2 linked regions of the Drosophila melanogaster genome follow. The protein of the gene in region 1 purifies or fractionates together with the protein of each later gene. This does not show direct contact. Each region holds a gene or a part of one and is shown on either strand. Other genes may lie near its edges. The genes, in order: CYLD and LUBEL.

Region 1 (6,481 bases):
AATGATTTAAACATTTACGTTTCATGTCGAACATGTTGGAAGTATTATAAATTGAGTTATAATACATGGTTGAGTATTCGCACGTCAAGGCAACGGAATTCTTAAACATTTTCTAATTTAACGTAATTAAATTCAAATCAAATTCGCGGCTTAAGATCGACATTTTCGCAGATAGTGCGTCGCACGTAAAACTCGTCTTTGATGTCTGGCAAGTAACTGAAAAACTTTTTCACTTGTTTAGTGAATGTGCGCCGTCGAGTGAACAACATCTGGATATCCTCCCTCCAAATCCACCAATCGCAATCGCCGACGTTTTGCGTCGACCAATGGTGGGCACTTCAAGATTTATATGTATGTATGTACTCCCGTGTATACATACATCCATATATATCCGGAATATGAACTGCCTTTCATGGTCTAGTGATCCGTAGTTCTCTAGATGGTTCAGTCCTGTTTCTGGAGTCACCTTGAAAACTTCTCCTAACAAAAAGCACTTCCTAATTGTTACAAACTTTTTGTAAAAAAAATATAAGCTACTTGGTATATTAGTTATAGAAAACCACCTATCTTTATTTTTTCCTGTTATATATGTAAAGCCTACCCATATTAATATCATAAAACATATTTTTCAACAAACCAATAACCATTAATAGGCACAAAATCCATTTCACATGTGATTTTTACAAAAATTTTATTGCATTCATTTAATTTATTGATAAATTTGCTCTAATGGTACATCATTATATCTGTGCTTTGGTACAGACACATATAGGCATCGCAAAAAATACGCTTGGCGTGTTCAGGTAATACTTTATCGTTCGTTGAAGTTTCATTTATAGATCGTGCGCCTTCTTCCGAGAGCCACTGTGTTAATTCTGGAACACACGTAATTTCAGGTATATTGTATCCATTCTGTTCGCCTGAAATAACATTTGCGTAAGTATAAGAAACTTGTTAGGTTAAAACTAAGATTTTGCTTGCCTTTTCGATCAGCCATTGAATCGAAGAAACACCATGGAGCATCTGGTCCGGATCCAGACTTGACAAATGCCACGTAGTGAGATGTTTCTATGCAAACGACTGCAAATAACTCCATGTACAATCGCGGGACAACCATGTGCTCGGCCATGATTTTAAATTCCTTCGGACTATAAATCTTCTTCGACACATGATTCGTTCTGAAAGATAGGTTTTTAATTGGTTTTCATTCATTTATCTATGAAGATAGCTGACCTTTTGATGTGACTGTGAAATGTCTTGAGACATTTTGGACAAAAGGCGGTGCATTCCAGTCCTGATCCAGCCTGCAAGCTGCCAAAGCAATCCCGGCACTCGTATTCAGCTAGTTTGCCACAAAGTGAGCACTGTCGAGGAGCTGCAAGTTGAATTTTGTTAAGATTCGAAATGCAAATTGTTATATTGTTGAACACCTACAATTTTCAATTATGTCTGTGACATCAAGAACCTGCGATGGCAATATCCTTGGATACATCTTGTAGTTCTTTCCGAAACGAGGCATTTGAATGATGAAACAAGAAGGAACCTCCTTTAGTTTTATATCCGATGAGTGAAAGCTTTGCTCAAACAATTGTTGCACACTCGGTAATGTTAACTTCTCATCCTTCTCCACAAAGAGTTGGTAAAAATAAGAATCTTGCCCCGAGCTTAGCTACAAAAAAAAAAAAAAAAAAAAAACATGTAAATTATTTAGTATAAAAATCTATGCAATAATGAGTACAATAAGCACCTTTAGAAACGGTTCAACTCGCATTATTTGTGAGAGCAAACTATTTAGGAACTCTTCAGGATCCTTTTCCTCGCAGGTGAGACCGCTGACCGAACTTAGCTGATCTAGGAGCTCGCGCAGTTTCATCACACGATCGGATCGAACGAAAACGTTTTTTCGCAATGGATTGACGATCTCATCGCGCAGAACCTTTTGAACCTCACTGTAATTTCGAATATCCTGTTGAAAATAAAATAATTTGTTATTGGTGAGCTGGGCAGACAAATCGAATAACTTACTTGTGGGCCCGGACGTCTGTACAGAATTGAATCGAAAACACTGGTGAAAGTGAACATGGAAAATAGAGTTGCATCAAGGTAGCAGGAATTATGGTGTCCTTGTATTCCTTTGAACTTTCCACATATGCTAGCAAGCTCATCGGAATTGTGTATTTCTGGAAAACAAATAGCTGCATGAACTCCTTTCCTTTATTAAATGTTTATTGTTATCTTACGTAATGGTGGTATCGAGCCATATATGGCAGGACAGTCAGCGACGCCAAATTTCTTTGCGTGATTACTAGAAACTCTGTTTGCAGAAATGCTATTATCTACATCAGCAAATCGCCGGTCAGCGGTGCATCTGTTGGCTGGTACAAAAATAGCTCGACCATCATGGCAAGTAAATAAGCTAAAACAAAACACAACACAGAAGATATTTTTCAGTTAAGAGTTTTTCTTGTATGAGTACCTATTTATGTGTTTTAAATGTTTAAAAGTATGACATACCGTACGCCATTGTGTCTCCCATCCGATGCCACTACATTTTTCAAGTTGGATTCGTCTTCTACCTCGATTCCGACGAGTACGTTTTTTTGCGGGCCAGGCGGTATACCTATCCATCTCACAACGCCATATAGATCTTCACATACTCCAGGATTCGAGACTTCGACGAGGGAACCAATCGCTAGCTCGGTTCCAGGTATTTCAATCAGAGGTTGATAATCAGCGATTGTAAAACCTAGGACAAGAATAAAATTAAAATAAATTTTAATTTCTTAGAAAATCAAATTAAAAAAAGCGGAACGATTTCATAATAGATCATACCAAGTTCTTCGGGCAATAAATTTGGTGAATAAAATTCTAGCACTGTTAATGGAATATTATTGTGGATATCCGAGTCAGAAGACAATTTTTGTTGGTATATATTCATTTTTGAAAGACGCACAGCACAATTTTAATTTCTTTACTAATTTTTATGTTTTTTTTTTTTTCAGCAATTGAGAACTTTGATAAAGTGCAGAACAAATAAAACTCCTCGACAAACTGCATATATCAACTCAGAGAACTGCCGTTTTACGTGAACGTAAATAGAATATATGTATGTGTCGTTATGTATTTGGCCGGCGTTCTATAAATAAATAGACGTTTTCATTTCGTTGTCTTTTGCAAGGAAGCAAAGTGAATACAAGTCTTACAACAACTGTAAAGTATCGAGAATAAAAGATTCAATAACAGTGAACGCTATATTCGAAAGAAGCGACTATTACATACCTGTTTACTCAGCTAAAAGAAGTGCGATACACTTGAAAATAGACAACCAGCACAAGGAGTGATGTAGCAGGCAGAATTTGAATGTCTTTTGCAAGCAGTACAGAAGACTGCTTGAGTAATTCCACTAACTAGAACTAGCTTTTACAGTTCCTGAGATCTCGTTATTTATATGGACGGACAAACAGGATTAAGATTAAGAGAGCTAGTAAACCTGACCAAGAATGTAGCAGGTCGGAACAGATTCCTTCCTTAGTTCTTAATAATGATATATTTCTTTTCTTTTTGAAGAAATGACAGTAAAATAAACTTACGTAAAGGTTCCTCCGGCTCTATTTTTAATATGGGTGAGGCTGGTTTTAAAATTAAGTCTACAGAATTACTAGGATCCGTTTTACTTTTGTTGTTTAAGATCATTGCAGCTGGTCCCGCTCGTTTTGGCCAATTTGTGCCCAAAATGTCTGCCAAATCCACATCCTCAAGATGTTGATTATCGACGGCACTATGGTTGGCATCGGTGTTTCTAAAAATCGCTCATTATTAGCTTTAAATGAATTGAAACAGTTTTACTACGTACTTTAAAATTCCGTTTTTTCTGTTAGGAATCTTTTTCGGGTATACATGGGTCTTGTGCTCGCTCTCGTTGGATAGTTCATAGTTTTCCAGGGAGTCCCCGAATCTATTTGTTATGGTCAGCTTTTTTTCTTTTTCTGCTTCATAATCGGATTTGGAATTCATTATTTCCAACTAAAGGCTATAATAACATTTGTATTAGTAATTAAATAAAAAGGATATACAAAATGTATTGGTCATAAGTGTTTTTTTATGAAAAATTTTAAAGAGCATGCTATATATTTGGCAGAGAGTATTCTACAGTCGAGTTAAAACTGTTAAACGAAATAATCAATGATACTCGATGTGACGGATTCTGTTTGTAACTGCTTAGTTTGCAGTCGCTTACATACATATGTACATATGCACGTAAGTATGTAAGAGACATCAGGTTGCTGTAACAGTAGTTCAATAAACATTCCATTGTTTTTACGCTAATTTCAATCTTGCATTAAATATTTATTTGCCAAGGAGGACTGCACAGAACAAGTAACAGGAAATACATGCATAACAAACACAATTCGTTAGCAACTTTTCCCTAATTGATAAAAACAATGACACACAACAATCGCGACTACATTGGTTTAATAATATTGCTGTTCGCTGAAATACCAAATGACCAATTAAGTTTTTAGCGCAACCCTGTTTGAGTTTTAATACAAACACACATAAATTGAACTAACAAATAAAAAGGTGTTTATATCCTGGATTTTTGTTTAGTATTTATAAAATTTGTGTCTTTTAGAATGCGATTGGAATGAATTCTGGATATCGTTATCGATTTTACCGCAATCGACAATTGTTGGGGGTAATCTTGAACCAAAAAAATACAATACAGTCAAAAAAACAAAGTAATAACGGTTTAAAAACGGTTTTATTATATAGAATATGTAACAGTATATTGCGATTTGTTTGTCGTTGCTTGTTAGGCTTAGTATGTTTTATTGCTTATGAATTTTATCATAAACTTTTAACAACAACAAAATAAACAATTTTATATATTCTAATATGCATTATATTTTATATTAAGCAACTTATTTTTTAGCATTTTTTTTATTGTGGGGAAAAAGTCTTTTAAAAGTCTGTCAGGTATATAATAATTCTCTGAATAGGATTATTTACGCTAAACATTTGATTAGATTATCACTTTTGAGCACCTTCTGCTGAAGCGGATTGGATTGGCAGTTCCACATGTATAGGACTTTGAAAGGCCATTGGTTGGAGTTGTACAAACTGAAATGGTATGGAGAATGGCATACCGCGATAGGCATTAGCCGATTCCTGTGGACTTAGGTCTACGTTGGAGCTATTGACAAAGTCTGGAGCAGAGTTGGCGGTCTCCAAATCCTTTCCCGTGATATTGAAAGGAGTAGGGGGACCGACGAGTTTCAGGGAAACCCCATCCCGTCCAGGAGAAGTCGATTCAATGCTAGTTTTGGGTACGTATTCCTGGTTATACTGCGAATCAAAACTACTTTTTGTTACGTAATCGTGCTTAAATTGAGGATCAATACTACTTTTCGTCACGTAATCGTGCTTAAATTGAGGATCAATACTACTTTTCGTCACGTAATCGTGCTTAAATTGAGGATCAATACTACTTTTCGTCACGTACTCGTTTTTAAACTGCTGATCGAGATTAGTTTTCGTTGCGTAATCGTGCTTTAACTGTGTGGGCACGGAGCTTTGATAGTCCTCCATCCTCGGAGGATGATCCAATTCCCTAGATTTGTATATCCTGTTGTAGTAGTTTGAGGATGGTAGGCTGGATGGTTCGTGTTCTCTGGGCGGTGGATGATCCATTTCCATGTTAAATTTGAACTCCTCGCCGCGTGGATAACTTTCGTAGAGTGATGATGACTCGAACTTATATGGCTCGCTGGAACGAATGTAAACGGGAACCTTTCGTTCTACCTCAACCTTATAGGGCACTGGTACCTTCTTCTCGAGATGAACTGGCACCTTTATTTCGACCGGATACGGAACAGTCCGGAGCACTGGATACGGTTTCGGTACGTGGACTATTTTCTCAATTATCTTTTCGACCACATATGGTTTGGGCACTTGGACTGGCTTTGGGATGTGAATCACCTTTTCCACTATCTTTTCGATAGGCACGTGCACTATTTTCTCAACTGTAACATTCACCAGCTTGGGCACATGTACGATCTTCTCGACAATTTTCTCAATGGGCACATGGACGACCTTTTCCACGGGATACGGTTGTGGTACTGTTTTGATCAGCTCCTTTATGTGGTTGTGATGATGGTGGTGATGATGATGCTTGATTTTCACCTTCATCCGCTTCGCATCCTTCTTACTCGAGTGCTCGACATGTTCGTGCAGAATCGCTTGTGTTCCGACCTGTTCGGATGCCTGGTATTGACCATCGTCCTCATCGATATGCTCGTGGATCTCTTCGAATGTATGATAATGCCTACTTTCCGTACTCTCATCCGCATAATTGGGACTCACATTTTTTCTTCGAGCACCAGATGGCTTATATTTCAGTTTATTCCTCGTCATTTTATCGCCTTGCTTTTGATAGTTTTTCACACCGCGTTTCAAAGTCACATTGCGTTCGGTTTCCCGA
Region 2 (5,195 bases), 3.5 Mb from region 1:
GGAGCTTCTGCTGAATTTTAGCTTGAACCAAGGCCCGAGCACCCGATCCCTCAGACTCCAGATCGGAGTAAATGCGACTGGTTCTGGCCGAGTCCGTTGCTGTTTTGTTTCTGGTAAGGGTTCCCTCATTTTCCCGTCGCTCCGGTAGCCACTCACTCTGCACGGACTTGGCAATGGATCCCCGACGATTCCGCATCTTGTGATGCACCTGATCGCCGTCCAATTCATCGCTGGCTATGAGTTGGGAGGCACTGGACAGGCGCCTTTGGCGGGGCTGGATATGGTTTTGGTGATGCTGGGAGCGCGAGGCACTAGTCATGCCCGAGCGATTGGACACCAAAGATCTGCGGTCATCCTGGTCGGAGTCCTCGTCATCCGTAAGTTCGTCATCCACGTAGCTATTGCGCTTGCGACGCAAGGACATCGATTTGCGGCTGGGTGTTGGTGATGCAGCGTACCGGGAACGGGATGCAGCTCTGGAGGCAGCTGAAGGTGGCATTCCCATGACACCTGCGCATTTAAAGTGCAATATGTAAATTAAAATATAACTAATAGTGCCTCATTTTACCTGGATGCATCATGGGATAGCCTGGTGCTCCTGGATACACATTGGGCATCATACCACGCTGGGTCATAAACACTGGTGGCGGATAGTGTGGATGATGTTGCTGCGACATGTAACCCGGTCCAACGTTCAGGGACAGATTGGAGTTGTTGAATTGCTGTTGGGAGCCGAACTGTGACCACTGATCGGGATGCTGGTGCTGAGGAAGTGCTTGGTGCGGATGCTGTGCCCAGCCAGGATGCTGCTGACTCTGTTGACATCCAGCGCAGTTTAGCTGCGCCAGGGATTGGGCCTGCAAGCGGGATGGTATCTTAGTTTCTAAGGGAGCATGAAACTCTAACTCACCTGCTGGATGCGCTGATTGGCGAGCCAGGCACCTCCGTTTTGGGCCTCGGACAGTGGTCGACGTGGATTCGAGTTGAGATTGAACACCGATGTGCTCATCTGTCGCCGCTGGGCGCCGGCCGCCTGTCGTTGTTGGAGCAGCAAGGAATTGTGAAATTGTGAGTCATCCGAGAGATCGAAATGGGATGAGTTCAGGCCGGATGACATGCTGCCGGAACGAAAATGCGAGGGCGATGGTGAAATGTTTGACCAGTGCTCGAAGCCGGCTTCATTCGACAAATGCTGCGCTTGGGAAATGACCAACGAGAAACGGAAAAAGAAAGAGAGAGAGAGAGAGGAAAGGGAGAAACGACACATGACGAAACGAGACGAGACGATACGATACGAAGTGCAAGGATCAAATACTATCAAGGATCAATGATTAATAAATTAACATTTCATTTACAATTATAACTGATCCTTGACACAATTTTCGCCGAGCAAAGACAATACGATACACTCAGTGATGAGGGGACTCGTACGATTGTGATTCGGGGTCAACGGGTCACTCACCTGTTCGCTGTTGGCGCTCAGATCCTGGCGAGCCTTCTGTTGGCGGTACCGCTGCTGCAGAATGGCCATGCGGTCCAGCGTGGCGCTGGCCTTGCTCTTGATCTTCTCCAGCTGCACCGACGGCGGTCGCTGGATGGTGTCGAACACGGACTTGGGGGTGCCCGATCTGGAAGATCCCCCGCCCTCGCTGCGCGGTGGATCGGGCAGTGGTCGGTTGTTCATCTGGTTGGCAGAGCTGGTGGCAATTGGTGGCACTGGGGGCGTGGCCCCGCCACCGAGCGATCCCCGCCAGCCGCCCAGCGACTTGTGCGAGGGCGTGGGCGAGGGCGGCGGCAGCATCTGGAAAAGAGTCGGGTTGGGTGCCATTTCGTATGGGTATTCGGGTAACAATTGAAAAAGTATGTCTGGATCGCTGTTTCTACAATTTTGGTCGGGCGTTCTGGTTGTAAGGACTCTTTTATTGAAGCATTCAAATTGAAGTTTACAAACTTGGTACTACGTGTAGCCCATGAAGGAGCCTTTCTTACGGGTCTAGGAGATCGTGCAGTGGCGTACCTGATCCTTGCGGCCCAGAAACGGTGTCAAAAGGCCTCGTTTGCTGCGTCGTGGAGGTGCCACTGGTGGTGGTGCCCCACCACCGGCCTGTGCCTTTGGCGGAATCGGCGGTGTGCCCTGCTCCACAGCCTGCAAAACGAAGTTCTTAAGTTCAAATTCATAATGGATCGGGAGAACTTACCTTTCTCATGTGCTGCTTACGTTTGGGATGCTTGTGGAACATGTCGTCGCAGGAGGCGCAAAAGATTTGGCCGGCGCACTCGGCACAGGTTACCCAGGGATTCTGGGAACCGCACAAGGTGCACTTTAGTTTGTTATCTGCAAGTGATAATTATCTCTGGTAGTATTTTAAATAAGTGGAATATATAAAAAGGTTGCCCACCTGGTGTCTTGGTTCTGATCACTGTGGTCTTCATCGGTTCGTTGGAGTACTGCTGGCTGGAGAATTCGATGATCTCGTAGTCCGGCTCGGGAGTGCTCTTCGCCTTGGGCGGCAGAGCAGGCGCCTTGGGAAGACCACCAGCCACACCGTTTGGTGGCGTGGGTGGCGGTTTGGGCCCAATGCGGTCATTTGCCTCCATCTGAAATGGGTAATTAGTGCAATTGGATATTGACTGGCAAACTGGATATTGGCTTACCACCCAGGAGGGCATGGTGCGAACATTCTTGTTTAGCAACTGGTGGGTCGTCATCTTGGTCGATTTTTTCGTCTGGGTTTTGCCGTCACTTAATCGTCTTTTTGCGCTTGATTGGTTTTCTATTTCATCGAAATACGTAAGCAGCAAAATATTAATATTATTATAATTATTTATAGATCGCAAATACCCTGTGCCATATTTTCGCCCAACCGCAGCCACTTCAAACGACTTCAAATTCAATTAAGCAAAGTGCCAGAAAATGCGAATTATGAATGCATATTTTTAGCTGGCTCACCCAAATTCCGAAGCCAATGACCAAAATGCAGTTTCGTGGATGCCGTGCACAAAACTAAACGCTGCCACAGTTCGATCGCGAATAAAAACGCTAAATGTAGTCGAAAATATCTTTCGGTGCATAGAAAACAAAAATTGAAAAATGTATATATTTTGGCATAACATTTTCGGTCTTGTTTATTTATGAAATCATGCGAAAGAGGGAAGTGCTGTTTTGTGACTCAATCGACTCATTCTGTCAACGCGGCTAAGTGGCTGAGATGCCAAGAAAATTGCAAAAGAGATTAGACTAGGGAGAAGAATTCGAATTTGAAAATAGTTCTCAAAAGTTTCGAATAGAAGAGTATTTCATGTAAATGCTTGAAAATAAAAGCGAGCGAATAAAACTAACAGAGAGAGGGAAAATATTGACTAAAAGCTGAGCGAATATGCATTTGGTAATGACGCAGGTGGCCAAATCGTTGCCAAATAGTTTAAATTAAATAATGGCCTAAACAACATAATAATTCCATTAGTAAAGGTATTTCAAATGCTGACTTTAGTATATATTTTAAGTTTACTATAATTGCGTCCAAGGCATCAAACTTTTCAACTCAAAGGGCAACGCACCGGTAAAAGTTATATGTATATAACTAAATATTTCATATATAATTAACTTATTAGATATCTATGTTTCTTCATGTTTTATGAAATGTGTATCTATGATACCAAGGAATCATTTATCTCTTGCATATTCTTGTAAGTTAAGATTGAATGTTAATTAAACTTTTTAATATACATATCTGCACTTCAAAGTTTTCCTTACTACATTTTATATTCCTGATACTTTGAGACAATTTCCCGTTTATTGAATATGTTTTATATCTCAATAATATCTTTTAGAGCATATATTAATCCAGCAGCTCTGGCATATTTTCCACGCACTAGTTAAGTGCGTAACGAGCCATAAAATTTATCCATAAATTTCGGAGTCGCGACGCCTCAGCCAGCATAGCAAAAATCAAGCCACACTGTTCTCTCGCATTGCGTATACGCAACGTGTTCGCTGGGCCTGCACTCCCGTGTCTGTTGCGCTATTTTTGAAACCATCCGCAGCCACTCCATACATTTGCCCCGAAATTGTGTCACACTGTGCAGCAATATTTATGAAAGCCGCCTGCAGTGGTGGGAGGGGCATGGCCCGGTGCCACCTCAATCCCGCCCAGAAGATCGGCCTGCTCCGTGCGGCGACTTCGAGTGGCAAGTGGCCTGGCAAGAGGCAAACGCAACGCTGACTCACAGACACAGACTCACGCGGCGAGGGAAAAAGTTTTATTTTTATAGGAGAACGAACGGTGGGAACTATTTTTAAACATTTCTTTGGCTTGCCTATATTTGCGTTTTTTTTTTTAGTTCACAGTTTTTCATTATTTCAAATTGGCAAATTAGCTTAAAAAATTTGATTTAATTTTGTATACTTTATTTTACGCTTTGATTGTTTATCCCGGCCAATGCCTTGAACTTTCCCATGGAGAGCGTTCTCCGCGTTTAAAATTAGCTGAGTTTTATATTTAGAACACTTGAGATCGATTTAATTGCGGTGTGATTTTAAATTGGCTTTTGAACTTTCGTAATGGATTCGATCGACCATGAACGGTTGGATATCCGCGAAATCAGAGGTCACTTACATAATTCGATTTCACTTGACGCGTCTTGCCGCACTCAAAACTGCCACTGCCAGCTGGTAGCACATGAATATATATATATATATATATATATATATATATATATATATATATATAGGGATATATATATTTTCCTGATATCTAGCCACAGCGCGACATGAAAATTCAGCTACGGTCTCGTTCGACGATCGTCTCCCAGCGAACTGAAATCTCAATCAGATTCTAAACAGCACTTTTACTGCAGTCCGCGGTCCCCAGTCGTCGCCCGAGTAGGAGGAAGTCAACGCAGATCTATGTGCTCCTCTGGTCTCGTCTGGTACGGTTTCCCCCTGGTGATCCCCTCAATCCTCGATCAGTCGCATCTCTTTCCTATTTTCAGCATTTTCGCGTTGTTTTATAAATACATCGTTTTCGAGCGGCATAGAACATTTTGACTGCGAGACGCCGTCGCGTGTGTGAATATCATTAATTCTCGAATATATATCATTCTCAGCTATTTGTTGTTAAACATTTTACGTTGTTATACGGAACTGATTACTTGTTGCGTTTCTTTTTCATGAATGAAAATATGACAATTGTATC

What was found.
Region 2: the proteins of CYLD (region 1) and LUBEL purify together in Drosophila melanogaster (affinity purification with western blotting, with the first as the bait; one study listed by BioGRID). This does not show direct contact.

What each region holds. Positions count from the first base shown.
Region 1 is NT_033779.5:10,295,191-10,301,671, forward strand, and holds CYLD (cylindromatosis), read right to left. Parts: upstream 4,658-6,481; 5' UTR 4,557-4,657; intron 4,031-4,556; 5' UTR 4,015-4,030; coding exon 3,854-4,014; intron 3,800-3,853; coding exon 3,591-3,799; intron 3,224-3,590; exon of another isoform or gene 2,939-3,223; coding exon of another isoform or gene 2,833-2,938; exon of another isoform or gene 2,788-2,832; intron 2,747-2,787; coding exon 2,515-2,746; intron 2,417-2,514; coding exon 2,241-2,416; intron 2,181-2,240; coding exon 2,026-2,180; intron 1,967-2,025; coding exon 1,748-1,966; intron 1,670-1,747; coding exon 1,435-1,669; intron 1,376-1,434; coding exon 1,234-1,375; intron 1,179-1,233; coding exon 982-1,178; intron 921-981; coding exon 727-920; 3' UTR 669-726; downstream 1-668. Other genes in the region: hand, read right to left, coding at 19-109; CG13138 (uncharacterized protein), read right to left, coding at 5,032-6,481.
Region 2 is NT_033779.5:6,767,936-6,773,130, forward strand, and holds the start of LUBEL (linear ubiquitin E3 ligase), read right to left. Parts: upstream 3,034-5,195; 5' UTR 2,951-3,033; intron 2,775-2,950; 5' UTR 2,710-2,774; coding exon 2,656-2,709; intron 2,599-2,655; coding exon 2,400-2,598; intron 2,336-2,399; coding exon 2,199-2,335; intron 2,147-2,198; coding exon 2,018-2,146; coding exon of another isoform or gene 1,994-2,017; exon of another isoform or gene 1,902-1,993; intron 1,802-1,901; coding exon 1,463-1,801; intron 1,193-1,462; coding exon 911-1,192; intron 858-910; coding exon 569-857; intron 511-568; coding exon 1-510.